3 linked regions of the Nothobranchius furzeri genome follow. The main gene of each other region encodes a partner of the protein of the gene in region 3 in a complex. Links are inferred from orthologs where the notes say so. Each region holds a gene or a part of one and is shown on either strand. Other genes may lie near its edges.

What was found. The genes of interacting proteins can lie anywhere in the genome.
Region 1: the proteins of rab35b (region 3) and dennd1b are in contact, whole or in part, in a crystal structure (PDB 3TW8), measured with the Homo sapiens proteins. The link is inferred for Nothobranchius furzeri from reciprocal best matches to the Homo sapiens genes RAB35 and DENND1B. Residues at the interface, in NP_006852.1 of Homo sapiens: Lys10, Leu12, Ser17, Ser36, Tyr37, Ile38, Thr39, Thr40, Ile41, Gly42, Val43, Asp44, Phe45, Gln60, Trp62, Thr64, Ala65, Gly66, Arg69, Phe70, Arg71, Thr72, Ile73, Thr74, Ser75, Thr76, Tyr77, Arg79, Gly80, Thr81; in NP_001182144.1 of Homo sapiens: Met1, Arg4, Glu43, Ser47, Phe51, Val72, Leu73, Thr74, Asp75, Ile76, Glu77, Ser78, His211, Glu212, Arg213, Arg214, Gln242, His243, Ile244, Ile246, Leu249, His252, Leu253, Asp255, Tyr256, Cys258, Ala259, Pro260, Met261, Pro262.
Region 2: the proteins of rab35b (region 3) and rusc2 are in contact, whole or in part, in a crystal structure (PDB 6IF2), measured with the Homo sapiens proteins. The link is inferred for Nothobranchius furzeri from reciprocal best matches to the Homo sapiens genes RAB35 and RUSC2. Residues at the interface, in NP_006852.1 of Homo sapiens: Asp4, Tyr5, Leu8, Phe9, Lys10, Ser22, Leu26, Asp30, Ile38, Thr40, Val43, Asp44, Phe45, Lys46, Ile47, Lys58, Gln60, Trp62, Thr76, Arg79, Gly80, His82; in NP_001129471.2 of Homo sapiens: Val997, Lys998, Asn1001, Asp1005, Val1008, Thr1013, Arg1015, Lys1020, Glu1119, Glu1155, Leu1158, Leu1159, Gln1161, Pro1162, Leu1165, Leu1166.

Annotation. Positions count from the first base shown.
Region 1 is NC_091748.1:66,499,214-66,507,789, reverse strand, and holds the start of dennd1b (DENN domain-containing protein 1B), read left to right. Parts: upstream 1-5,089; 5' UTR 5,090-5,442; coding exon 5,443-5,459; intron 5,460-5,939; coding exon 5,940-6,004; intron 6,005-8,576. UniProt on the Homo sapiens protein: Guanine nucleotide exchange factor (GEF) for RAB35 that acts as a regulator of T-cell receptor (TCR) internalization in TH2 cells. Acts by promoting the exchange of GDP to GTP, converting inactive GDP-bound RAB35 into its active GTP-bound form.
Region 2 is NC_091750.1:38,915,887-38,924,278, forward strand, and holds the start of rusc2 (AP-4 complex accessory subunit RUSC2), read left to right. Parts: upstream 1-4,905; 5' UTR 4,906-5,102; intron 5,103-8,392. Other genes in the region: uncharacterized protein, read right to left, coding at 1-1,213, 1,285-1,334, 1,426-1,442. UniProt on the Homo sapiens protein: Associates with the adapter-like complex 4 (AP-4) and may therefore play a role in vesicular trafficking of proteins at the trans-Golgi network.
Region 3 is NC_091757.1:28,059,957-28,071,052, forward strand, and holds the start of rab35b (ras-related protein Rab-35b), read left to right. Parts: upstream 1-4,226; 5' UTR 4,227-4,455; coding exon 4,456-4,507; intron 4,508-6,272; coding exon 6,273-6,323; intron 6,324-6,447; coding exon 6,448-6,571; intron 6,572-11,096. UniProt on the Homo sapiens protein: The small GTPases Rab are key regulators of intracellular membrane trafficking, from the formation of transport vesicles to their fusion with membranes.

The sequences.
Region 1 (8,576 bases), on a different chromosome or scaffold from region 3:
ACTGCCTTCATCCTCTTCCTTTTTTGTGGCAATGTGGCCTCCACTTCAATGTCCATGTCATCTTTCTCTTGGATTTTTGTGTTTTTCCACTTGACAAAAGTGCCTGCTGCTTTTTTTTTGATGGATTCAAAATCTCTTCCCAAGCTTTTCAGTGTATCCTGTGTTGATACTACCATTCTGTAGGCAGAGAGGACGTCCAATCCTGCTGTCTGAAGGCACTTAGACAATGGAGAGGTATGATCAAATATGTGGAGGAAGATTTGAGCCATTAAGATCATCTCATACTTCAGCAAAGACTCAGTATATCCTCTCGCCAGGACACAGATGGAGGGTTTTACTGTTGCCTGTTTCTGGATGATGTCAACAGTACATCGACATACAGACCATTTTCCGGCTTTCCAAAGTAGCCAAACACCTTCTTCAGGGCCTCGTGCTTGGCCCACCAACGTGTCTCACCAATAGGAGCAAGGATTCTCCGTCTTTTGTTTTGGCCTGTCTCTATCCACACATTCATCCTTTGACATGACTCTGTGATAAATACAACAATGCCTTTGAAGAGCGCGAAAAGGGACCCGCTCTCAATAACAACCTGGGTTGTGTTTGCAAGCACCAGATTTAGCACATGTGCATAGCAACAGACATGCATTTGGTTTGGTGATTGTGCAGACAATAGTGAAGAGAATCCTTTATACTGGCCTTGCATGTTTGATGCCCCATCGGTCACACTTCCAATGCACATTGTCTTGCTCAGGCCCATTTTTTCCAGAACATCTGACAGCATGTCAACAAAGGCCTGTCCAGTAGATGAACTACACTTCAGCACTGCAACAAGCCTCTCATTAACAACATCAGTAACATACCTCATAATAATGGAGCACTGATCCTGAGAGATGTCCTGTGTTGTGTCCAGCTGAACTGAAAACATTCCTGCTTTCTTGATCTCATGTGATATGTTTTCTTGAATCAGATGGTGAATTGCATCCATCACTGAGTTGACTGTGGTTTTGGAGAGAAAAGTTACAAGGGAACCTCTGCCTCTTGTGCCTCCAGATAAATGTAACTTTTTGCTCTCCTCAATGCAGCTATCCAGGTGCTCTTTTAAACAGAAATCATACTTCCCCAGTGGAAGTATAAGTTCAAGGAAATTTCCATGGTCAACTGCGTGGTCTTCCAGGGTGCTGCCTCATTTTCTGACCTCCTGTATGCAAGCCCCCTCTTCCCAAAAACCTTGATGACATCTATTATGCGCTCCAAAACCTGTCGTCTTTTTTTGACCTGCTCTCTGTGTGCGGTCATCTGACTGCCACGAAACATCGGCTGATATTCAAGAGGTATGCTTCAGCACAGTTTCTGTGTGCACTGCTTCTCTCATGTTCCTCGGTGCGCTGGTGTATATGCTTCCATTCTGACATTCCACTGATGAACAGACTACTATCAGTTCTCTTACCAAATGCCATGCAGATGAAGCAATACAGCACATGATGCACTGGACAGTACGTCAGCCATCTTCTGCTGGTACCATCTCTGCTACAGAACACTTTCTGCACCACAGGATTGGTACTTTTTGGCGGAGGATGGTAATTTAGAAACGATAGGAGATTTTTCTGATCAGGTTGTGAAAAAAAATCTGTTATTTCCATCCATCCATCTTCTGAACCTGCTTGTCCACGCAGGGTTGCGGGGGGCTGGTGCCTATCTCCAGCGGTCAACGGGCAATCGGGCGGGGTACACCCTGGACTGAGAGCCAGTCCATCGCAGGGCAACACAGAGACACACAGGACAAGCAATCATGCACACACACACACACACACACACACACACACACACACACACACACACACACACACACACACACACACACACACACACACACACACACACACACACACCTAAGGACAATTTAGACGGACCAATCAACCTAACAGTCATGTTTTTGGACTGTGGGAGGAAGCCGGAGTACCCGGAGAGAACCCACGCATGCACAGGGAGAACATGCAAACTCCAGGCAGAAAGATCCCAGGCCAGGAAGCGAACCCAGGACCTTCTTGCTGCAAGGCAGCAGCTCTAACCACTGCACCACTGCGCAGCATCTGTTATTTCACTGTCACATTCTTGGTGCTTTACAGCTGTTTCCCTCTCAGGTGGTGCTGTATTTGGGTTGCCTGTATTGGTTTGGCCCTCTCCCTGAACTGACCAGCTGGACTTGCCCGTGTCTGGGCTAATAAGAAAAGCATTTTGCATTGTAAAGGGAAATAACTTCAAACCACAGAATAATCCACATATACAGATATTTATCAATATGTATATATTTTCCATAGAAATGCATTAGCCATGCACAAACTCACATGTATACATAAACATACAAAGAAATTCAATTAAGTTAACTGTCAAAAGTTGCCTTTCAGAGTCAGATGCCTCCAATGTGCTTTCCCCTACAGAGTATCAGAGAGAGGCGAGGCTTCTGAGCACAGGCACCACCACGACCAGCAGGGAAGGGGAGTTGGGTGTCTTGCCCAGGAAAACAACAGCAGTATTTTCTGCTGGGATCAAACCTACAACCTACAACCCACTCTGCCGAGCCACTGCTGTCCATACATTTATAAGACATAAACAGAATTTAAATGGTGATTTTTCAAGTCTCCAAAGCAAACAGTGAAAATGTGATGAATAGAAGTAGACAAGATATAAATAGGCAGTGAAGAGAGAGGACAAAATACTGGTACGATATGATGCACCGGATGTCTTTCAAAATGATTTATTACCAGAGTGGTTCAAGATAAAAATGTATTTAACACAACGACAAAAAGCAAATCTTTAAGTAACAAAGTATTTGTACACATGTGAATACAGACTGATGTAAGTGAGACGTGCACTCGTCTGGTTTATGTTTAAACTGGTATAACACCAGCTCTCCTCACGCTTCTTCTGTCCATCACAGCTGGATCTGTGTCACACTGTTGCTGCTGGGGGCACATCGATGGTGGGGGCAGGAGGGAGGAGCAAACACTGCTCACTGATTTTCACCACTCAGCTATATCAGCAGAAAAACATTATGCTTACTGCTAGAATGCTACTGGCTGCTAAAGTAATCGCTGGGCTCTCTGTGGTTTACGTTTATTTGTCGCAATAATCTTGATGAATTATTTGTTAGCTGCAACTGACCTTGCAACGACCTTCTGCGTCCTTTAAGTTGTCCCTTTGATGTGCACTGCATTCTCTAGCGCACAACAGCATGCAGGCTAAAAGCTAAAACCACCCAGGTCACAGGTGCTTTAGTTCCGAAGTGAAAGTTCTGTTTTTATTGGGTGTCATTTTGTGGTGACATCTATATTTACTGGTACATCTCATGAACCTGAAGAAAACAGTTCATTATAATACACAGGAATCTGTCAGACAGAGCGGAAAAGTGACTAATGCAGAAAGCACCTTTGACTGATGGTGGACTGTGTGACCTTTCTTTTAATTAAAACCGCAATAATAAATGTCACAGCCAATGCTGGACCAACAACACTAGTGGCTTTTTATTTTTCTTGCTGTTTTGCGTTGTAGCAGTGTTACGAATCTGCTCTGACCACACATGATCTTATTCAGCTGGAATTCAAAGCAATTAGTCATTTAATTGTAGTTTTCTTGTTTTACATTTGGTCTGTGGTAAAAGAGTCATAAAACTAGGACTATCTGGTAAAAGTGAAACATCTGACTCCTGTAAAAAAAACATTTAGAAATCGTTTTGATGAATTAAGATGAACAGCAATGCAGGAGGAGTGGATGCAATGGTCATAAGCAAATGCTGCTTCACAGATGATGAGCAAACATTTTAGCAACATAAACACAATTATTTTGAAGGCTCTCATGATAAATTAGGCAACTTTTGTCCAGTAAGGATTTCAGGAAAAGATATGGATTCCAGCTGCATGACCAGTGACAGAAGACATTTTCAGAAAGTTTTTGCACATGAAAATACTAACAAATAAACTACTAATCTAGTTGGAATTACTGAAATTCTATGGAATAATGAATGAATAAACATTTTCAAGAGATACTTCCTAAATTCAAGGGGAGAATATATAATTTGAGCATTTTTTTGGGAAACCAGTCAATTTATTTTGTCCATGTTTCTGTATTACTTAGAAATTACTTTTTTAAAAGTCTGAATGACTTCCTTTTAACCTATGTTTACCTTTTTAATGACTGCTATGTTGGTGCAATAAGATTTCCACCTGTATTCATTTGAATTTTATCTTTTCAAACAGACTCTGTGTACATCCCACTCATATTCATATCCCTATGCTGTTTATATTGTTCTGAATGAGTAAAGCACTGCATGTAATTTACTTGAATGTGTTTTAATTACAAGCCATTCATTCATTCATTCATGCATGAATACACATGATGCCTAAAATGAATAATAACAAACTACAATACATCTGTTTGTCTTGATTGATTTTATTTTAAATAGTACAAGGAACATTTTCTTCTGAGATGTAGTTTACTAGCCAGGCAAGCCAGACTAAATAAATGTATTATTGCAAAGCAAGAATTTGGTCTACTTCACTAGGCTAGCAGTTTACACTTCTAATTGGGAAATACACTAAAAGTGTATGTAGGTTTTGTGTGTGTGTGTGTGTGTGTTCTTGTACTGTACTGCACTCTACAATGTGAGGACATTTTTTTTAGAAACTTACCAGTTGGTTTTAGAGGTATGGTGTGAATTTTGTTTTAGGGTTAGGGATAAATCAGCATTGATTATAGTTAGGGTATGGGTTATGCATAGTGGAGTCACAAAAATGAATGGAAGTCAATGGAGGGTCCTCACTATGATAGGAAGACGGACGTGTGTGTGTGTATGTGTATTCAGCACCTGAGGTAAATAGGAATCCCCTTGTTGCACTCTGGCAGCCTCCGTTGCAGCCGCCACAACTGAGCTAATAACGCAGCAGCGTCAGAAGGAAGCCCCTTTTAATCAGAAGCAGCGTGAATCACACGGTCCAGGTCTAAAGTGTGTGTGTGTGTGTGTGTGTGTGTGTGTGTGTGTGTGTGTGTGTGTGTGTAATCGGAAGCAATGAACCACATGGATCAGGTCTGCAGCAGCCGGACGCTCGCAGGCAGCAAGGTGCTCATCTGACGCGCTGACGTCACCAAATCTTTGACAGCACTTCCTGGAGTGGTGTTTGTTGTGGGAAACAGCCACGGTGGTGCTGAATTGAGGGAATTTAGGCCACATAAACGGCTGGAAAGACGAGACAAACTCCCACCTCCTCCCACCATCAAGCATGTGGTCGCGGCAGCTGCTTTTGACCGATATCAGATAAGATAGAAAGAGGGTTTTCGGCTGAGAAACCGAGGAAGGAGGACGAGGTGGAAAATTTCCCGGACAGACCTCACAGCAGAGCAGAGCCGCCGACAGACAGTACGGCGTTGTCGCGATGTTGTAACTAAACCATGGACAGCAGGATAAAGTAAGACCTTGGAGTTTATTTTCTTTTTTTTTAAATAAATATTCAGTCGCTTTGCTACGTTTACCGGTCAGGCTAACGGCTAACGTGCAGCTGACGCGCCGTTAACTCGGAGCTGCGCGTGAGTTGCGGAGGAATGTTTGGCGTAATTTGAGCCATCTCCAGCAGCGGCTTTAACAGCCAGGCCAGCTGGCTCAGCACGCATTTGGGTCAGTCTGTGGCTGTCCACTAGCTGACCACCAATTAGCCGCTTTAAAATAGGTGAACAACCATTCTGTGGGTCGAGCTAATCCCCTCTGTTTTATCAGAGAACCCAGTCACCCCTCTGCTCCATCGAGCTGCTGCTTTCATTATTGACATTTCCTGTTAATGTGGGTCAGAAGATCACAGAACTACTCTGTTCACGTGGATAAACACATGTTTATATTTGCTAATTTTCCTAAAATGAGTTTGATCCTGTTTTTAAAATCTTTTTTCATTTAGGGAGAACCCAGAAAGAACATTTGATCTGGTTGTACAAGTGGCGTGTCCACCATCTGAAAATGAAGGTATGTGATTTTAATATTTCCATTCTGTGTGCAGAATCACGTGACAGTAAATAACTAATTCATGCTGTTTTGGGGTTTCAAACATTTATGCAAATGAGGAAATCGGCTCACTTTAAGTTCTCTGAAAACACATAAATAATCGACAGGCTGAGTTTGGAACAGCGCGTCCCCAAATCCAGACAACAGTCCTTCAGACTGACACTTGAATTTAAAAAATGTTGAAGTACTTCAACACATTCCACAGAGGAATAATTCAATTTGGTGACGTAACACCATTCAAAAGGGGATGAGACGTGAGACGTATGACCCTTAAAACACTTGGACATGAATTCCACCTAACAGCTCAGTCAAAACTCATTCTCTGAACCGTTTCTCCTCAGCAGGGTCACAGGGTTGTTCCTGGGGTTGTTTCCACTAATTCTGACTTTTCATCTTCCACAAGATTATAAAGCAGATGGTAGATGAATGAAGTCTTTAGAAATGGGACCAGTTGTTTTAGGTTATTGTGAGATTTTTGCTAAGTCGATACACTTTAAGATAACAACCAGCGTTTGTAAAAACTGGTTCATCATGTGAGCCCGTTTCTGAGAAATGAGTTTGCAACTTCTGAAACTTGTTTGCTGTAAATTCAAATGTGTTGTGATTTGGCTATGGGCCAGTTAAACACAAAAATCACCTTGTGCATGACACAAAATGTTCATAACCCTCCCACTGTCCTAATGGGTGTGACCCCGCGAGGAAAGTTGACCATTGAGCAGGGTTGATGGTTTATCCCTTGAGGTCCACGTGGCAGGGGTGAGGTGGTGCTCACTCCTCACCCCTGCCACGTGGACCTCAAGGGATAAACCATCAACCCTGCTCAATGGTCAGCTTTCCTCACAGGGTCACACCCATTAGGACAGTGGGAGGGTTATGTTTGTGGGCCATATACAGGTGAAACTCTAAAAATACTCCGAATATGGTGCAAAAGTTCATTTGTGTCAGTAATTCAGCTTAAAATGTGAAACTAATATATGAGACAGACTCATTACATGCAAAGCCAGATATTTCAGTCTTTATTTGTTATATTATGATGATTATGGCTTACAGCTTAAGAAAACAACACATTCAAAATCTCAGACAATGAAAATATTGTGAAAAGGTTCAATATTCTAGACACTCTAATCATCTAATGAATGCAGAACACCTGCAGAGGATTCCTGAGCCTTTAGATGGTCTCTCAGTTTAAAAGAGCTGTCTGGACTTTTGCACCATTTTATAATATTTCAATTTAATACATGTAATAGATACAACTGTTAAAACCAAGCACTTTGTTTCCAGTATTCAGTTTGATAAAGCTGTTTACTTGAGCTGACGAGTGGTGAATTTCTTTGCTCCCATTGTTGCAAAAATGATTGTTTCTACCCAGCCTGTAAATACTATAATTGTTAACTGTGCAGCCAGGGAGCTGTGTGGTTGCTGAATGCACTTGCATTCACTGCATGACTGAACCAGTAGTCATTACGGCGGTTGTATTAGAGTGTGTGTGTGTGAGGTTCAGAGTTTGCTTTGTCTGCAACAGAAGGCTGACACTTGAGTTCTGAGAAAAATAAAAATCCATTTCAAATTTTCCTTTTCTCTTACGCACATTTATTTGATTTACCTGATCGTACATTTTTCCTTGGGGACATTTTTTTCTAAAATCCATGAAATGTGTTGTATTTTTAAAAATGTCAGGTTTGAGTGAGAAACCTGTTTGTCGTACCTTCCAGTTGGTCGTAACTTTTGTGAGAAATGAAGTGTCCACCGAAGAGCAACACCATCCTTAATCATTTTATAAATACAGGAAATGAAGTAACCCTAACATTCCCGTCAATATCCAGTGTTATTCACAAGTCTATATCATGTAAAAACGTTGTGCGTGTGTCTTGCTTTGCCCGCTCACGGCTGAGTTTGAAGAGGTGTTATTGGAGGGTTCGCCCTTGCAGCTGCTGAGCTGACGAGTGAAGGCTGAAAGTTGTCCTTGGATGTAGTTCTCATATTGGCTTTTCAACCAAACTCATAAACTGCTGAATTGCACAGTAATAACTGACTTCCTTCACGTCTGATCTGGGGTCAGACTCATATCCGGTCTCCAGTTCCCTTGAGCAAAGCTGCGGTGCAACATTTGCTCACTTCAGTTTGAACTGAATGCACATATTATTGTTATTTGACCAGAATGTTTTCTCTTCACGCTGTTCGGATTGTTGAAAATAAACCTGTTGAGGAAACTGCTAATCTCTACTTTAGGTTTCTGTCAGGAGGGCCTGAAGGTTGTGGCTGGCTGCTTTTTTTAAAATAAGCAGTTTCATTTACTCCTATGAGGAATCGGTCACTTCTCCCTAAATCGGATCAGTTTCACTTTCTCTTACTCACTATCAGCGGTGTTTTGTCCCCATTGCAGAAGGAATTTGTCAGAATATTCACTCTGGTACTGGTGGAGGTTTAACACACTCATCTGTGACATGAAGGCCAGACTAAAACATTCTCAACTGCAGCATGAAATCAAGCGCTCTATTCCCCCAACCAGGAGAAAGTGGGCGTTAGTGACCTA
Region 2 (8,392 bases), on a different chromosome or scaffold from region 3:
GCCTGGGAGCGGGGTTCCGGGCTGAAGCGCTGCGGTTCCGGGCTGAAGCGCTGCGCCTGAGAGCGGGGTTCCGGGCTGAAGCGCTGCGGTTCCGGGCTGAAGCGCTGCGCCTGAGAGCGGGGTTCCGGGCTGAAGCGCTGCGGTTCCGGGCTGAAGCGCTGCGCCTGAGAGCGGGGTTCCGGGCTGAAGCGCTGCGGTTCCGGGCTGAAGCGCTGCGCCTGAGAGCGCGGATCCGGGCTGAAGCGCTGCGCCTGAGAGCGCGGATCCGGGCTGAAGCGCTGCGCCTGAGAGCGCGGATCCGGGCTGAAGCGCTGCGCCTGAGAGCGCGGATCCGGGCTGAAGCGCTGCGGTTCCGGGCTGAAGCGCTGCACCTGAGAGCGGGGATCCGGGCTGAAGCGCTGCGCCTGGGCCTGAGAGCGGGGATCCGGGCTGAAGCGCTGCGGTTCCGGGCTGAAGCGCTGCGCCTGGGCCTGAGAGCGGGGTTCCGGGCTGAAGCGCTGCGGTTCCGGGCTGAAGCGCTGCGCCTGGGCCTGAGAGCGGGGATCGGGGCTGAAGCGCTGCGCCTGGGCCTGAGAGCGGGGTTCCGGGCTGAAGCGCTGCGCCTGGGCCTGAGAGCGGGGTTCCGGGCTGAAGCGCTGCGCCTGGGCCTGAGAGCGGGGTTCCGGGCTGAAGCGCTGCGCCTGGGCCTGAGAGCGGGGTTCCGGGCTGAAGCGCTGCGCCTGGGCCTGAGAGCGGGGTTCCGGGCTGAAGCGCTGCGCCTGGGCCTGAGAGCGGGGTTCCGGGCTGAAGCGCTGCGCCTGGGCCTGAGAGCGGGGTTCCGGGCTGAAGCGCTGCGCCTGGGCCTGAGAGCGGGGTTCCGGGCTGAAGCGCTGCGCCTGGGCCTGAGAGCGGGGTTCCGGGCTGAAGCGCTGCGCCTGGGCCTGAGAGCGGGGTTCCGGGCTGAAGCGCTGCGCCTGGGCCTGAGAGCGGGGTTCCGGGCTGAAGCGCTGCGCCTGGGCCTGAGAGCGGGGTTCCGGGCTGAAGCGCTGCGGTTCTGGGCTGAAGCGCTGCGCCTGGGCCTGAGAGCGGGGTTCCGGGCTGAAGCGCTGCGGTTCCGGGCTGAAGCGCTGCGCCTGGGAGCGGGGATCCGGGCTGAAGCGCTGCGCCTGGGAGCGGGGATCGGATTTACTGCCTTCAAGATTCTTTAATCCAGTCTGAAGTCCTTGCGAGGAAGCTACGAGAAACAGAGGAGCTCTTGGTTACACCAGCATTAATCATCATTTACCAGAAGTTATATGATCTCACTTTGTGTGGTAGCTTGAAGCTCTCCACAGAGCAGCCATGGTAGCACCACACTAGAAGAGAAGTATAAAAACCATCATCGGTTGTTCCAGATGAATGAATGAATAAATGCATACAGAAGCATAATGAATGACTTGAAAGTACCATAAAAAAAGCTTCATGGTTCTGACGTGTGAACACGCTGCTCAGCACCTGGACCAACAACTGCAGCTCTCCCTCTCTTCCCTCACTCCTCAGTGAGACAGTGAAACTTCAGGTGCGCCGCAGGTGATTTTCATTGTTCTGTCAGCCAATCAAAACCTCTGATTTCAAAACAATTGACTGAAAACAGGTGGAACCAATGAAACTTGATTTATACAATATAAATCCAATTTGATCTGGTTTATCATTTCCCTGTAAAGGAGCACATTCAGTGTACTAATTATATATATATATATATATATATATATATATATATATATATATATATATATATATATATAAATCTAAATAAATAAAAGGCGAGTCTGATATCTGAGACAGACTCACTCCAGGCTAAGCGAGAAAGTTCAGGTGTTTATTTGTTAGAATTGTGACGATCACGGCTCGCAGCTTATCATAACCCCCCCAAATAAAAAATCTCATACATTTTGAATATTACATTAAACCACTAAAGTAATGATTTTAGATAAAGAAACGTCAGAACTCTGAAAAAGCAGAATCATGCATTTGTACTCGGTCCTTGGTTTGGAACCCTTTTGCTAAATGAACTTCTGGACAACGTTCTAACTTTCTGAGTTTCACCAGTAGAGCATCCTGGGTATGATGTTATTTTTTATTGACATGCTGCTTTAACGAGGAAACACTGACGTTACGACCTGTGACTCATGAACACTTTACAAGTTCTGTAAGAACTGAGTTAGGCCCACTTATGTTTCCAGCACCTGATGCATTAGATAAATTTCTAATCAAACCTCAAATTCAAACCTTTGTTTGATCCTTTGAATGAGTTGAAACCATTCGGTAGAAGCAATAAGGACTGATGATGCTGTGATTCGTCTTTTGTTAACTCTTTTTCACAGGAAAAATAACTGATCACTGGAAATCCCAAATGTAGTAAAACATGCTGTAAACAGACGGAGAAGCTAAAAGCTGCAGCTGTTCTTGAGGAGTGCTAGTCTGGCAGGTCACCCGATGTAAACCTATACCTGCAGAGCTAAATATTTCGCTTTTGCACCAGTGGGTCCAGAGCAGTGGTTCTGGAGGGCCGGAACCCAGCACATTTTAGTTTTAACCTGCTTCAACACACCTGATTTTAATCAGCAGGTGATTAACAGGCTTCTGCAGAGCCTGATGAGCTGCCGCACAGGTGATTCAACTCCAGGACCAGGATTGAGAAGCACTGGTCCTGAGTTCCAGGCCAGGAGATGTTAGTACCGTGGTGGGTCAGCGGGTGTCAGTAGATCCTCCTCTTTTCTTCTTCATCCCTTTCTCAGTAAAATCAGAAGCAGACTGAGCTGCAATGACCCTAGTTTAAGGATAAGCTCCGAAAACAGAAACCTCATGTTGATGGGGAACTTGTTGTTTCTGCGACTCGTGGGATCTGATTAGAACTTGGACTTAAAAGATTGTTATGATGGATCTTTCTCACATTCAAAAACATTTAGATATTTAGTGTTATACGAGCCTACGTCACACCCACGTCAAGCCCCTACGGCCTGAAACAAGAAACCGCTTTGCCTTATGTTAACTGTAATCAAAATGAAATATGTGAGTTTCGACTGTTTGTCACGTACTTTGATATTTATCAACTTGTAAAAACTGATCATTAAAAAGACTACAAATCAAACCTCACGTATCACGTCACCGAAGCATCCCTTCAAAACAACCTCTAGTTCAGTTAAAAACCATCAAAACTATGAAAATGTATAATGCATTTATTATCTCTGCAACTCACATTTATCCTGTCTCCACGTTTTATTTATTTTGTTTCATTTATTCCTTATTGTTCATGTTTCCATTCATTGTTGACAGAATTTTATTATGTAAAAATGTTTGTCAGGTTTGCAAGAAAGCAATAAAGCTCTGGTTCGGTTTCTTTTTGTGGTAGTGCCATCTACCGGTGGAACCGAGTATTGCACCTGAACCTCTCACCACCTTCTGCAGATGGACTCCTGAATTAAAGAGCAAGTCACCCCCTACAATAAACTTACTCCACTCCCACTTCATGTTTGAAAAATGCAACAATTGCTGTTGCCTGGCAGACCGAGAGGGCGGAGCCACTAACAAATACACACACACACAGGCTCACAACGGCATTGTGACGTCATAATGCACCAGTTTACATCATAGCATACCTCTTAGCCAATAGCGGTGGCAGATTTAAATTAAAATACAGTGCAGAGTTTTTACCTGACGACGGCGCAACACTGCCAGTTTTAGGCAGAAAATTTAAATTTTAACTAAGATGCACTGAAGTGCCAAATTATTGACTACACGTGTCTACAGTACAATTAGACACTCGTTTATTTAGTTTATCAGCAAAAAAAGTTGATTTGGGGGTGACTTGCTCTTTAACAACTCTGGTCACATGACCTTGTGCTGTGTTTGCACGTGACTTGTTGTCGTTTCTCTAATTGCTGTTGCTCTATAAAATTATTTTATTGTGCTTATTTCTTCTTCTTGCACCAAGTACGCAGCACTTTCCTGATGCTCACACATATGGCAAAAAACTTTCTGATTCTGATGATCAAACCTTCAAAAAATAAAAAATAAATAAATAAACATGACCATTTCGGTTTTTGCAATATAACGGAGTTGTCAATTTACAAATACTGGTTATCAAAGAGATCAATCGAAACTGGATTAAAGCTGATACTTATTTTTTCCATCCCAATTGTCCTCATGATCATACAAACAATTATTTAAGATAACCGTAAATGCCAAATATGTTAAAAAAACAACATTGTAAAATATAGCTAATTATTAAAAAATAAGATCAAATTAAACATAAGATTTCCCCTATTTTAAAACGTTTTTAATAAAACATTAACACCAATACAAATAAATCAAAATGTTAATAATAGGCTAAGAATTAAAGATTAAATAATATAATAATTATATATAATAATTTATAAATAAAGCTTTGATTGATTGATTGATTGATTGATTGATTGATATACTCATAATATCTACAACCAACGTTATGTTTACAGGATAAGAAGTTATTGGTTTGCTCTCTAATGTTTTGATGGATGACTCTCAGCTGCTGACCAAAGGTATAGTCATTCTACGCAATAACTTAGGTCTGGTGTGAGCAATGAGTCATGTTGCACGTTCAATGTTATTTCATTTAAAACGTGTTTAGTTGAGTTTTGCATAGAAATGTTTTGCATATTTTAGTTTAATGTACTTTTTATGTTTTTCCAGAATAGTTAGTGATCAAATTTTACACCTAAAGTTTAAATTTCATAACCTTTTCTATTGTTTTTTGCATTTCTTTTGTTCTTCCCAACAAAAAGTATTTGGCTTTACTCCAATTTAAGAAGAAGAAACAGCAAAAACTAAATGTTTTTTATTTATTTAATTTTTATTATTATTTAACGACCACCGGGTGGCTCACGCAGGAGGGCTGAGGGTGAGGAGGGGTGCTGGCTGTCCCGCCCGGGTGAGATAATCCAGTCTGGGACTGGGACCGGCGTCACCTCAGCCTGACGTGCTGCTGCTTCACTTCCTCCCATCCCGCAGTGTCTCCGGTACCGACACCGGATTCCCACACGGAGGTAACAGCTCGGCAGCAGACTGTTACACCGCCTTTGGCACCGAGAGCCACGGCCGACAAGGTAAACGGCTCCATTAGCACATTTTTAGTGCGTACTGGGTGAAAACAAGCGGGGGGGAACGACAAAAGGCTCCGTTAACCGAATATCGCGTCGAAGGCAGAAGAAAGGATGTTTTGTTCGTTCCTTTGGAGAATGCGCAGCTCGTTGTTCCGGAGCTACGTGTCTTTCTGGTCCTTCTGAGCGGTAGTTTAGATGTTTGTGTTGGAAAGGGTCAAATCTGGGAGGCTGGTTGGGTTTGGCTAGTTGTGTGTGGCTGGCGCGTGTAACGGTTTGTCTCATCCTCGGTTTTATTCATTTTCGGGTTAAATGTCCGCGCATTTATGTAAAATACGTCACGTTTTTATTATATATTGATGTCTCTGTACACGCGTACACCGTTAACGTGACACGGCGCGGCCTCGCCAGCGGCCTGCGCCCCCGTTATCACCATATCGATCCACCATAGTGATCCACATTACTAGAAACATCAGCGAAACGCAAACAGCGTCAAGTTCGACAGGATGTTCAAAGTATAGCTTCCGGCCAAGGTTTACAAAATAAAAGCCTATCTGCTTAGCCTGAAAAAATGAAACGAGAATTTGTAGAGCTGTTTGTCGGTTTAGACAACAGGTTTAAACAGCAGGTACATTTAATACTATCTATTTAGATCTCTAGAGTAGTATCCCACCCTTGTTTATTAAAGTTGAGGCAGGTGTTGTTGGCCTCGTATATATTTTTTATTCATTATATTTATTTATATTTTATATATTTACTAATATTTAATTGTTTCTATTTACATGTGTAGGATGGCTTGCCAGGCTACGTTGTTGATACATTACACCAAAAAATCTGTTCATAATCTGTTTTGCTTAAAAAAATAGTGTACCTAATTGGTGGTTATTAGAAGTTAATGTTGGTTTGAGGAAATAAAAAGTGACCCTAAAACTGAATTTCTAAACTGAAGAGTGAAATAATTTTGAGTTAATTTTAGATTCACTGAGATAAAGAAAGTTCATAAAAACACTACTTGGTGTGTGTGTGTGTGTGTGTGCCATACTGACCCAGTATCCTCTGGAGGTTTCTTCCTGTTAAAAGGGAGTTTTCCTCTCCACTGTCGCTGCATGCTTGCTCAGTATGAGGACTGCTGTAAAGACTCTGACACTAGTCAGTGACTCGATGCGACCTGCTGGGTTTCTTATGTAGGAAACTTTTTATTGATTGGCTTAATGACCTGACCTGTACTAGAAATGTTTACTGTGTGAACGTCATTGAGACGACTCTGGTCCTGATTTGGCGCTTTAGAAATAAACTGAATTTAATAGAAAAATGAATAAAAACACAGAATGTGCCTCAGGGATCATTAAAGTATTTTGAATTTGAATAAAGAACCATAATAAGTAGAGCTTTGTGGAATCTAGGCCTGGGACGACGATAACAACCAGTTAATGACAATAAACAACATTGTTGTTGACATTGTTGAGACCAAAATAACCACTTATGTAATTACAATATATCATAATAATGCAAGTGTTTCCTTTAAAATGCAACTATAAAACCTTCATTTAACATTGGAATATCCAAAACCAGAACTTCTAAATAAATAAATAAAACAAACAAACAAAAAAATACAATAAGAAAGGACTCTCACTCTCTGTTAGAAAATATTGCACTAAAGACCCTCAATATATCGGGGCTGGAAAAACGATTGAGTTAATTTTCATCTATTGTATGGTTAATTGATTTATTGATTTACCGTCCCAGGCCTAGTGGAATCCTAATGAATTGTTTTTAAATTAAAACCTAAGATGAAAACCAATTATATAGATTTAAACACTATTTAATCTCAGGACAATTGTTACTGGAATTTATTTCAAGGCTTTTATTTTTTAGGCCGTTGCTCTGCTCTTCCTGTTGAGTTTTTGTTTTTATCTTCAGGCAGATTGCATTCGGTATGGTGGGATTACCCAGCTGATCCAAACAACAATAATATGTCATGGCTGCAGGATTAACATGTAATCTTTGCCACTTAAACACTTTTTATATCAATATTTTTAAATAAATTGCTGGAATATATTTATTCTAAAATCTTTCTGTTTTCTGTTTTTTTTCCAGAATCAAAATTGAAACCAGTTTAAGTCTAAAATGTAATGTTTTTATTTATTTTTTTCAGTCAGATTTCATGTGTGAAGGAACCTGAAAATAGCCCAGACATGAATGGAAGGAAGTCCCTCCACTTCCCTACATTCCTAAATGTCAGGAGCAGGAACTGTTCTGTTCGATTTTTATTTAAAGGTGTGGAACACTCGTTTAATCAGTACTTTTGAGGTGGTCTCTAGTAGGGTTGTCACGGTAACCGGTGTAGCAGTAAACCCCGGTAAAAAAGTTGACAATAATAATAACCATCTTGTTTTTTTTTTTATTATTATTATCTCTGTGGGTTACCGTGGCTGCGGTGTAGGCGCGGTGACCCTTACCAGCCACCGTATCATCTGCTCAAGTTGCCGGCGGCACATGCGCACTTTGTTGTTTACAACCAAAACTTTCTTGAAGCTAAAGCTGAAATAACGGCCAAAGGAGGAGACGGCAGCGCTCAGGACATTTATTATCCCTCAAAGAAGACAAAGTGGGAAGTACGGGCATCTTTTGGATATTTGAAGAATGCCGAGGGACAGTTGATAGAAGACGGCTATCCTGTTTGCAGCACGTGCAGAAAAAGTGTCTGTGAAAGGCAGCAACGCTTCAAATCTCATGACACATCTGCGTGACCATCACCCACAACCCTACAGTCAACGCAAGGCAAGCTAACGTTAGCGTTTTAGCTAAAATGCGTGATCCGAGGATTTGGGTTGAGGGAGAATGCAACGAGTCGCTATATAAAGCAGCCGCAGCGCCGCTACCTGCATATAAACCGTGTCGCGGACACCGCCATGTTGAAATGACGCTATGCATTACGGGGCTCCCAGGGGCAGATAAGAGTTGGTCTCTCTCTGAGAATAATTATTAATTTAACAATGATTACTGCCTGATGACATTTTCCCACATCTGCAAAGCTCACTGGAACACAAACCGAGGACAATATTTTCCTGATATAGGGTTTATTACTCAAGTAAGGGTAAAAAAGTATCTGATTAGAAGACTACTTGAGTACTGAGTATCATCTGACCTAATAATTTTAAAATGATGACATCAAACAGACAAAAAATAAGAAGTTATGGGCAAATATTGGTATTTTAAAGACTAAAGGGAAAAAATATAAACAAATAAACAACATAATTACAAAATAACACATCTTAGGCAAAATTTAGACACAA
Region 3 (11,096 bases):
CTAATATAGACTGGGCCTGTGAAATTACAATCAGAGCCAGACCGCTGTGACCAGGAGCCCTGGCTTTTCAGATCAGCTCATTGTCCAATGTCAGAAATAAGCGGGACATTAGCTGCATGCTAACCTGAAGCTAACAGAGTTTTTTCGGGCGTTTTTTGCAAGAAAAATGCATTAGAACGACTTCAACATGAAGACAACTCCGGCCTGCTTAGTAAAGAAATTATAACTAGGTAAGCTGACCAAGGATATCGTGCTTCGCTGGTGCACCATGGTCAAAAAGCCGTAAGTCCGCCAGTGTCGACGCACACGGCTCTGGGACTCAGCTCATGTTATCGTGTAGCGCTCCCGACCGAAGACAAAAACGGCTGACTCGCAGATCTTTTACTGCGGTGGAGCAGCAATGCCCGATCCTCGGTCAGATACCCAGCAGCCACACCAACACGTTATATTTCAACCGATTTCGACCCATCTTAGACCAAAGAGTGTTATGATAAACTAGCAACCTATTAGTGAGAAAAAAATGCAGTTGAGCGACTCAAAAGTAAAGCAGCATCAACATAAGAAGCTGCGGTGTTTCTGTGGTTTACCTCAGAAATCCACAAGTGACCAGCATGACTACAACCAGGCATCTGAGCCGGTTCGCATGTCGGCTGCCCCGGAAACGGGAACAGCCAGTCGCCTGCTCTTGCTACTCGTCTCAGGCAGGAAACGGAAGACGGGCATCGCTTATCCAGCCAGCAGCCCCACTAACATGTCTGACTAAGCAGTTAAATGAACCACATTTTCCCCATTCAACCAGCAAAATAAAGTACAGAAATATAATTTTACTTACTGATAAAAAGAAGCAGAAACTGTTTGGATGATCTGTTAGTGCAGTCATTAACCAAAGCTTGCCCTCTTTGTCCAAATGATTCCATGATTAACATCCAAACAGGAACACACAGACAAAACTAAAGTTCAGAGAGTCGAAATGGCCGAACATCTATTAACATGAGGCCGAGGCCTTTCCACTGCTGGAGGCTGGAGGCCCTGCTGTGAGGCCCCTCTGATGCTCAATAATTATTCAGAATTTTAAGCATTAAATTACACTTAAACAGAAGAGTTACAAAAGCATCCACCCCCTTCTGAGTTGTCATGACTGTAAACTAGATCTATTAAACCTAAAATGGGTTTTTGAACCAGGCTGTAAACGTGTTTATTTCTGCTGTGAAAATGGGATTTTTAACATGGGAGTCAATGAGGATTTGCTCTCGTCTGCTGCCAGCCCCTAGTGGATGAGAGTTCAACTGCAATTTTAGTCACTCCTTGGCTTCAAAAAATGTAGACCATAATGACCCCTTGGGTGCTCTGGAGTTTTCTGCCTTCTGCTTCACTGCCTGCAGCAATCTCCTGGTTCAGAGTCTGACAAAAAGCCATAAAACTGATCACTATTTTGTGCTGAGCTGTGTTTCTGTGGAGCATACAGGCAAACTTACACTGTGTACTGATCACATATTTTGAGTAAAAATCGTCAAATTGTAGGATGTAGTACTGGTGGGATGTAGTACTGGTAGGATGTAGTACTGGTAGGATGTTGTACTGCTGGGATGTTAAACTGGTTGGATGTTGTACATGTAGAATGTAGTACTGGTGGGATGTGGTACTGGTAGGATGTTGTACTGGTAGGGTGTAGTACTGCTGGCATGTTGTACTGGTGGGATGTTTTACATGTAGAATGTAGTACTGGTGGGATGTTGTACTTGTAGAATGTAGTACTGGTAGGATGTAGTACTGGTGGGATGTTGTACTGCTAGGATGTTGAACTGGTTGGATGTTGTACATGTAGAATGTAGTACTGGTAGGATGTAGTACCGGTGGGATGTAGTACTGGTAGGATGTAGTACTGGTGGGATGTTGTACATGTAGAATGTAATACTGGTGGGATGTAGTACTGGTGGGATGTTGTACATGTAGAATGTAGTACTGGTAGGATGTTGTACTGATGGGATGTAGTACTGGTAGGATGTAGTACTGGTGGGATGTTGTACATGTAGAATGTAATACTGGTGGCATATAGTACTGGTAGGATGTAATACTGGTGGGATGTTGTACATGTAGAATGTAATACTGGTGGCATGTAGTACTGGTGGGATGTTGTACATGTAGAATGTAGTACTGGTAGGATGTAGTACTGGTGGGATGTTGTACATGTAGAATGTAGTACTGGTAGGATATTGTACTGATGGGATGTAGTACTGGTGGGATGTTGTACTGATGGGATGTAGTACTGGTAGGATGTTGTACTGGTGGGATGTTGTACATGTAGAATGTAATACTGGTAGCATGTAGTACTGGTGGGATGTTGTACATGTAGAATGTAGTACTGGTAGGATATTGTACTGATGGGATGTAGTACTGGTGGGATGTTGTACTGATGGGATGTAGTACTGGTAGGATGTAGTACTGGTGGGATGTTGTACATGTAGAATGTAATACTGGTGGCATGTAGTACTGGTAGGATGTAGTACTGGTGGGATGTTGTACATGTAGAATGTAATACTGGTGGCATGTAGTACTGGTGGGATGTTGTACATGTAGAATGTAATACTGGTGGCATGTAGTACTGGTGGGATGTTGTACTGATGGGATATTGTACTGGTGGGATATTGTACTGGTGGGATGTAGTACTGGTGGGATATTGTACTGGTGGGATGTAGTACTGGTGGGATATTGTACTGGTGGGATGTAGTACTAGAAAACTAGGTTTACATTTTGGACTGAACCAGGGGTGGGGCGTCTTGTTGCAGAAGAAAAAACTTCTGAGATAAGTAATACTAGTTTTTTATGTGACATGTTGTGTGTGACAACCCCAGTGTCTTCAGAACCAGTCCAGTGACATCAGACTGGTGTCAGAGCGAGTGCTGTGGTGGGTGTTCAGAGACCCGTCAGTGCCCCCCATGGATACCAGCCTCATCAAGCCCCTGTTGAAGAGTCTGCTGGACAACACCAAGGACAAGAACACCACCGTCAGAGCTCAGAGTGATCACACCATCGTCAACCTGCTACAACTCCGCCAAGGAGAGGAAACCATGCAGGTGAGCCTGTGTTCTCTGGGATTGTATTCAGACATGATCAATAATAACATTTCTGTGGTTATTATTCATTCTTACCTTTTTTACGTGACAGAGCATGACTGCTATTCTGGACTCTGCTAGTAATGAACTGCTGTCAGAATGTCACCGCCGGTCTCTGAAGAAGATCGCCAGCCTGCCAGACTCCAATGAAGAGATCGATGACACCATTTTGACATGATTGAAAAGGACTTGACAGTAAACTGAAATCTGCAGAGGTTGATTAAAATTTGACTGACACTGAAAACAAATCCTGAGTTGGAGAACCCCAGACACACTCGACACACAAGGGCTTTCCCTACAAATGTATCTTTTGTTTTCTCTAACTTTCAGTCTTCGTTTTAGTTGCCTTTAAGCCCCGTTTCTTACTCCTTTTTATCTTGTGATGTGCAGGTTATAATCCTGCACTAAACTGTAGTATTTGGGAGACAAAATGCCAAATTTGTTTTGATATGATCATGTTTTGTTGACTATTTTATCAAAATGATTTCAAGCGTTAAAGATGCCTCTAGGGAAACATCAGCCCTGTCTCTGGATTGTGTGTGACTTGTTTGTGGAAAGCAACTTTCTATAAGACAAACTGTACTTATCCTGGATACTGTTGTAAAAAGACAATACAAAATAAAGATTTCGTGTGTTTGAGATGCTTTCAGTGATGATTCTGGTACAACAAAACGATGAATCACAAAGACTTGAAGACCACAGGACAGGTTCAGCAGACATGATGCATAAAGCATGACACGATCAAAGAAAACTTGCATTAGGAGGAAGTTACAAACTCGGATTACTCTGTGAAGAAGTTGCATGTCATGCTGGATGTATTAAACACACCCGTGAGGTTACCTGGTTATCTGAAACACTAATCTCACACAGTCACAACAGCTGGATGCGTTTTTATTATTCTGATTGTTTTAGGAGTTGTTTGTGACATCGGAGGGGACGTGTGTTTGGATCATGATTCGACTGGGTACAATTCTCGGTAAACGTGGGCTTTGACACCTGTAGGTGTTGTGAATCGACTGGTCCGTGATCAGTCTGCTGGGACTGCCGCGCTCTGGCTGGAGCATGCGCAGTGACGTCGGCTCCTTTGGGCGCAGCTCCGCCAGAGAAGGAAGCGGAGTTTCCGGCTGTTTGCAGCGGAGGGTGGATTGCTGACGCCGCGAAACCCCGAAGAAAAAAAACGCCACCGGCTCGGGGTCTAACCGTCTCCAGCATCGGGTACCGAGTCGTTTTCCGTGTGCCGGGGGATCTGGGAGCTGGTAAATGTCTACGGTCTAAAGGGAGTCGGAACAGAAAGCTAAGCGAAGCTGCAGCAAAAGGCGGGGGATAGCCACCAGCTACCGGCATGGCCAGGGACTACGATTACCTGTTCAAGCTGCTCATCATCGGTGACAGCGGTAAGCCGATTTCGGGGATGTGGGACGGGAAGTGGGCCTTGTTGTGTTTTTCTTATTTCTTACAAGGTAAGCGAGAGTAGCGTTGCAGGGCCGAGTAGTTTACTGGCTGTGGGCTCTCACTTCGCTTCATATTTTATCCTTGAAAACGATGAGTGGAATGAACAGCTCCGCCATGTTTTAGTGCCCGTGACAGGGCGGAGGTTGTGTGACCGGACCGGGCATGTCAGGCCGGATAGCGCCTCCACAGCGTCGGCTCTGTCGCACCAGGGTCTCTACTTTTGTTCCAGTAGGCGAAGACTTGGTTTTAGCTCTATAAAAACTAACAATTTGACTAAATTACCTCCGTTAAAGCTCTTCCGCTTCTCTAATTTTCTCTGTTTGTGTCCCACATTAGCGATGTAATATTAGCTAGCAGGAAGCTAGGCTAACATCAGTGCTCCAGGCTGGTTGCTTTAAATAAACATTTACTTTGGTGTTTTAAAGTTGTTTAGCTAAGTAGTAGAGTTTTGTGTATGTGTCTGTAGAGTCAGCACGGTTTGGTGAAGCTGCTGCATGGGATGTGGTTTTGCTAGCAGGCAGGAAACTAAGCTCCTCCGTGGACCTTTGATTTGCAAAACTGTTTCTCAGCAAGCTAGCCGTTCACAATTGGTTAATTTCAGCCACCCAATCAGGTGCAGCTGGCCGCTGAAGTGTAAAAGCTGGAGTGCTGCTCCTTTAACGTGAAATCCTTTCACATCAGACAAACTCCCGAAGCCACAGGTGGATCCAGACCGCAGGTGTAATTATGGAGCCATTGCTGCGTCATCTAAGGCTCATCCAGCTGGAAGCCTTTTGATGCAACAGTGATCTTTGCTTCCATTGATGGCTTCAGTCCTGGCACTACTGCCGCATCAGCTGGCTATTCACTTTGTGTGACAAGGCAGCACTACGCACCCTTCATCACATCCCACACACAGCCTTAGTGTCCTCAGTCACATTGTGGCAGATCAGTTCTGCAGAGATCGTCTTGGGAGGAAGAAGACTAGACCTTCCGATTTTCCCTGCCCTGGATCTCCATCATAGGTTGGGGATGTTGTTCCTGTCGCACGTGTGCCTCCTGAGTACATCATTTATGTATTACAGCATTGCATTAGAAGGCCCTGCACACTGAGCGTGAAAGTCGTGTGTGGAGTCCAGGATGTTGTCAGTGTTTTGATTTGTTGGACAGAAAGTGACTCTCGATCAGGTCGGTGTTAGAGACATGGTGGTACATTTGATGTGGTTATTGTTGTTGGAACAAACCTGTGTGTGGAGATGAGACGAGTCCGTCTGACAGCTCAAACACCAGAAGTCAAACTGTCTGAAGACAGCACACTTTTACCTGTTGACTATTATTTTTGAGATTTTTTCTCTTGTTAACCTTTGATCAGCTCTCTTTGCTCTGCTAAGATCCAAATGAAGATGTTTTTGGAGCCCAGCTCTCCTGAACTCCTCCCAGCTCATTGTAATGTGTAAAACTTAATATGTGTAGAAGAACCAACTGTCTGAGTACGCAGAGATTAGCGCTGTTGACTCTTAAAACATGTTGTCGTCATCTGATGGTGCAGAGATATAAAGTGTAAAACCAAAATCTGACTCACAGTAGTGACATAGATCTCCCCAGAGCTCCCTACTGCTCTGTTTGAGTTGACCAGGCGGGTGCCACCGAGCACATCTACTTTTTTAAATGTGTTTGTCTTCGTTGGAAACTTGTTTTATTGTAATCTTGTGCTTGTTTCATTCTCAGGAGTGGGAAAGAGCAGTCTCCTCCTGCGATTTGCAGACAATACATTTTCAGGTGAGTGGTTCCACCTTTTGCTGTGGTGTGACGTCCATTTTTTCTACTCTTTACTTCCTGCTCTCAAATTCCTCTTCTTTGTTGTTTTCTGTCTGTTTTTTTGTGCTCGCATGGCTGCTCACAGGTAGCTACATCACCACGATAGGCGTGGACTTTAAGATCCGAACAGTGGAGCTCAACGGGGAGAAGGTGAAGCTACAGATCTGGGACACAGCGGGGCAGGAGCGTTTTCGCACCATCACCTCCACGTAAGCAGCCTCTTTTACGGGGCATTCTCATGTGGGTGATTAAAGCTGGAACCGTTGCATCAGAGGAAGGAGTTTGCAGACAGCTAGAGTACGTAGAGTAGGAGCTTTGCTGTGTGACTGGGTGGAATTTAGAGGTGTGAATCTTCACTTGTCTCTCGATTCGATTACGATTATTGGGTCAGTGGTTCAATTCGATTAGAAATCCCGATGCATCACGATTATTTCATATTGATTTGTTTTCATCGATAAATAGAAGATGTCAGATAATTGCTTTTCATTTTTATTTATTTACTTTTTATCAAACACGTAATTGACACAACCTGCCATCCCTCAAAATCTCTCCATTCACAACAGGTTAGGACAAAACATTTTAAACATTTAAGAAGATTTAACAAAGTAAAACTATCTGTTCCTCGTTCAACAGCCACACGTCAGGCTGAGAAAAACACGCTTTGCAAAAACTCACAAAATCTAAAAAAGTACTGAAAACCTACAGGACACATAACGTAATAATAAAATACATAATGGGTTCATACAGGGAGTGCAGAATTATTAGGCAAGTTGTGTTTTTGAGGAATAATTTTATTATTGAACAACAACCATGTTCTCAATGAACCCAAACAACTCATTAATATCAAAGCTGAATGTTTTTGGAAGTACTTTTTAGTTTTAGCTATTTTAGGGGGATATCTGTGTGTGCAGGTGACTATTATTGTGCATAATTATTAGGCAACTTAACAAAAAACAAATATACCCATTTCAATTATTTATTTTTACCAGTGAAACCAACATAACATCTCCACATTCCCAAATATACATTTCTGACATTCAAAAACAATACAAAAACAAATCAGCGACCAATATAGCCACCTTTCTTTGCAAGGACACTCAAAAGCCTGCCATCCATGGATTCTGTCAGTGTTTTGATCTGTTCACCATCAACATTGCGTGCAGCAGCACCACAGCCTCCCAGACACTGTTCAGAGAGGTGTACTGTTTTCCCTCCTTGTAAATCTCACATTTGATGATGGACCACAGGTTCTCAATGGGGTCCAGATCAGGTGAACAAGGAGGCCATGTCATTAGTTTTTCTTCTTTTATACCCTTTCGTGCCAGCCACGCTGTGGAGTACTTGGACGCGTGTGATGGAGCATTGTCCTGCATGAAAATCACGTTTTTCTTGAAGGATGCAGACTTCTTCCTGTACCACTGCTTGAAGAAGGTGTCTTCCAGAACCTGGACTGGGAGTTGAGCTTGACTCCATCCTCAACCCGAAAAGCCCCACAAGCTCATCTTTGATGATACCAGCCCAAACCAGTACTCCACCTCCACCTTGCTGGCGTCTGAGTCGGACTGGAGCTCTCTGCCCTTTACCAATCCAGCCACGGGCCCATCAAGACTCACTCTCATTTCATCAGTCCATAAAACCTTAGAAAAATCAGTCTGGAGATATTTCTTGGCCCAGTCTTGACGTTTCAGCTTGTGTGTCTTGTTCAGTGGTGGTCGTCTTTCAGCCTTTCTTACCTTGGCCATGTCTCTGAGTATGGCACACCTTGTGCTTTTGGGCACTCCAGTGATGTTGCAGCTCTGAAATATGGCCAAACTGGTGGCAAGTGGCATCTTGGCAGCTGCACGCTTGACTTTTCTCAGTTTCTCAGTATTTTGCGCCTTGGTTTGTCCACACGCTTCTTGCGACCCTGTTGACTATTTTGAATGAAACGCTTGATTGTTCGATGATCACGCTTCAGAAGCTTTGCAATTTTAAGACCGCTGCATCCCTCTGCAAGATAGCTCACTATTTTTGACCCTTCTGAGCCTGTCAAGTCCTTCTTTTGACCCATTTTGCCAAAGGAAAGGAAGTTGCCTAATAATTATGCACACCTGATATAGGGTGTTGATGTCATTAGACCACACCCCTTCTCATTACAGAGATGCACATCACCTAATATGCTTAGTTGGTAGTAGGCTTTCGAGCCTACACAGCTTGGAGTAAGACAACATGCATGAAGAGGATGATGTGGACAAAATACTCATTTGCCTAATAATTCTGCACTTCCTGTATATGAGAGTTTACTGTCTCTGAGCAGCTTGATATTCATGCCACAGTTCAAGGGTGTCAGAAATAACACCAAATGAAATGTTTGACTTAGTTTGTTATTTTATTCAGTGTTTCCCTTACATAGACGTAGCCGTGGCGGCCTGCCGCGGCTGAAATCCCGGCGCCACGCCTACAAGATCCCAAGTTTAATTGATTTTTTTTTTTGTTGTTGCGCCGTTTCCCGAAGAAGCAACGGGAACTACTCTGTTGTTGCTTGTGATCACAGCCAGCAGGCAGCAAGGAGGAGGAGGCAGGGCAGGGTGGTTACAGCTAGGGATGAGCCGCATACTCGTTTCAGACGAGTATCCGGTACGGATAAAGCATTTTTGATGAATACGAGCATGAAACGAGTAAAACTTGTAAAAATCTGTAATCGTGCTGAAGGAAAATCCTCATTGGGTAACTGACTGTCTTCACACTCTGTGATTGGCCAGTCACATAGAGTGCCCGCCCCTCCCTACACACAAAACTGCAGCCGGGAGCTCTGTCCGTCCGACACACTCGCACTCTCTCACACACACACACACACACACACACACACACACACACACACACACTGTGTGTGGAAAAAATGCCAACAACACTGGGAAAAAATCAGTTTTATCAAATTAAAATAAAATGGTTCTAGAATTTCATGTTTCCTAAATCCTGCTGCATGAGTTCAGATGCATTAATTCATGCACTTAAATATTAATGTTCTGATTTTAGTGAAAAACTTGTTCTGTAGTTCCTTTACTATTGTGATCAAAACAATTTAATCTCAATTCTGAGGCTGCTCTGTAAATAGTTTTCTAATAAACACACATAGCAACTTCTGATCAATCCATATCAATTTCAGATTTAAAATCATGTATTGATGTAAACCACACCCACTGATTTCCAAATAATAAATAAGAGGTGCATTCATCTGTGTATCTCCTTTGATCTGCATTAGTGATATTTTCAGCACCAGAACAATGAAGCAAAGAAACAGATTCCCGTGTTTGTTAGTAATTTTATTTATTAGATGCATCTGATCTGTTCTATTTTTCTCTGAAATGAGATCAAATCAGTGCTTCTATGGGGTTGTCTCCTCTCTGCACTAGAAACATGTACTTTATTATAATGTTCACTGTAATGCATCTTGATGTTCTTAACAAATAAATTAAATCAAAGATGTTGGTCAATAATGCCAAATACGTATATTTGAGTTTCAGTCATTTTTATACTGGCTTAAAAATACTTCATTAAGTCTACTAAGCAGGGGTGTAGAACAAGTTTAATCGGGCCAGCCCAGTAATGATCTTGGGCCAAAATAAAGGGGACAGAAAGTCAAATAAAGGGGGGCAGAAGATGTTTTTCCAGATGCCAAGAAAAATTAAATGCCAAATATTGACAAATAATTTTTGTTTTAAATTCTCAGTGACACACTTTGCAGGGGGGCAAAGTGTGTCACTGAGAATTTAAAACAAAAAATATTCTTGTGCAAATATTGGTGTATTCACCTTTAATAATAGTTATTAAAATTCAGCAGTTGCTGGATTGGTGCAGTTCAAAGTGGAGTACATCAAATAAAACAATATTAACATAAAGATGAGACGTGTCATAACCCCCCCCCCCTTGCGCCGGTGCCGCCATTAAAAAAACAAACTGCTGGTCTGGAGGAGGCACTTGCAGCACATGAAATAGGATCATGAAACACTTATTCCTTTAGCTGTGAATGATGCTCGTCTCTTCACCACATAAATCATTGCTGGTACGAGTTCTGCTGAAACCACCGCCGCCGCTCTGTACACTGTCTGACGAGGATGAACGTTTTCAGATAAAACACTGATTGTCCCCACATTACTCAGAGCAATTTTGCCTGTTTCCTACCATTTGTGTGTTCAAGCACACAATCTCACCTTTAACTCTGATTGGTCGCCTTCTTCTTTACAGATAAAATGTTATTTTCTCCTCTCACACTTACTAAACAGGCCTTAGCAATGCTGAGCTGCTGTGTCTGGTGAACCCTTTTTACCTGGGTATCTGCCCATCTCAGTACGAGCCACTCACCACTGGGTGACGGTTACATGCCTCCACCATTGTCCTTAGCACTGATGGGACACGTTTGACATTTATTACCCTGTAGCAGCAAGGACGGGACGGTCAGGAACCAACGTCTTCCATCTGCAGGCTGATGCTTTGTCCCCTAAGGACTCTGACCGTTCTAATTCCTCAGCTCCTGTTCTGCAGGAATCCGTCTACCAAACAGGCTGATTGTGGATGGAGCTGAAGTGGAGGGCTGCGGTTCCTTATTAGGTCTTCTTAAATTAGTTCCACCGTGGAAACAGGTCGTAGACGCTGACCTGATCAGACCGCTCGGGAGGGAGCCACCAGCTACTGGTCTCAATCAGGTCCTCTGATGTTGTTGGAAACCAACATCAAGAACACCAAAGTCTGGATTTT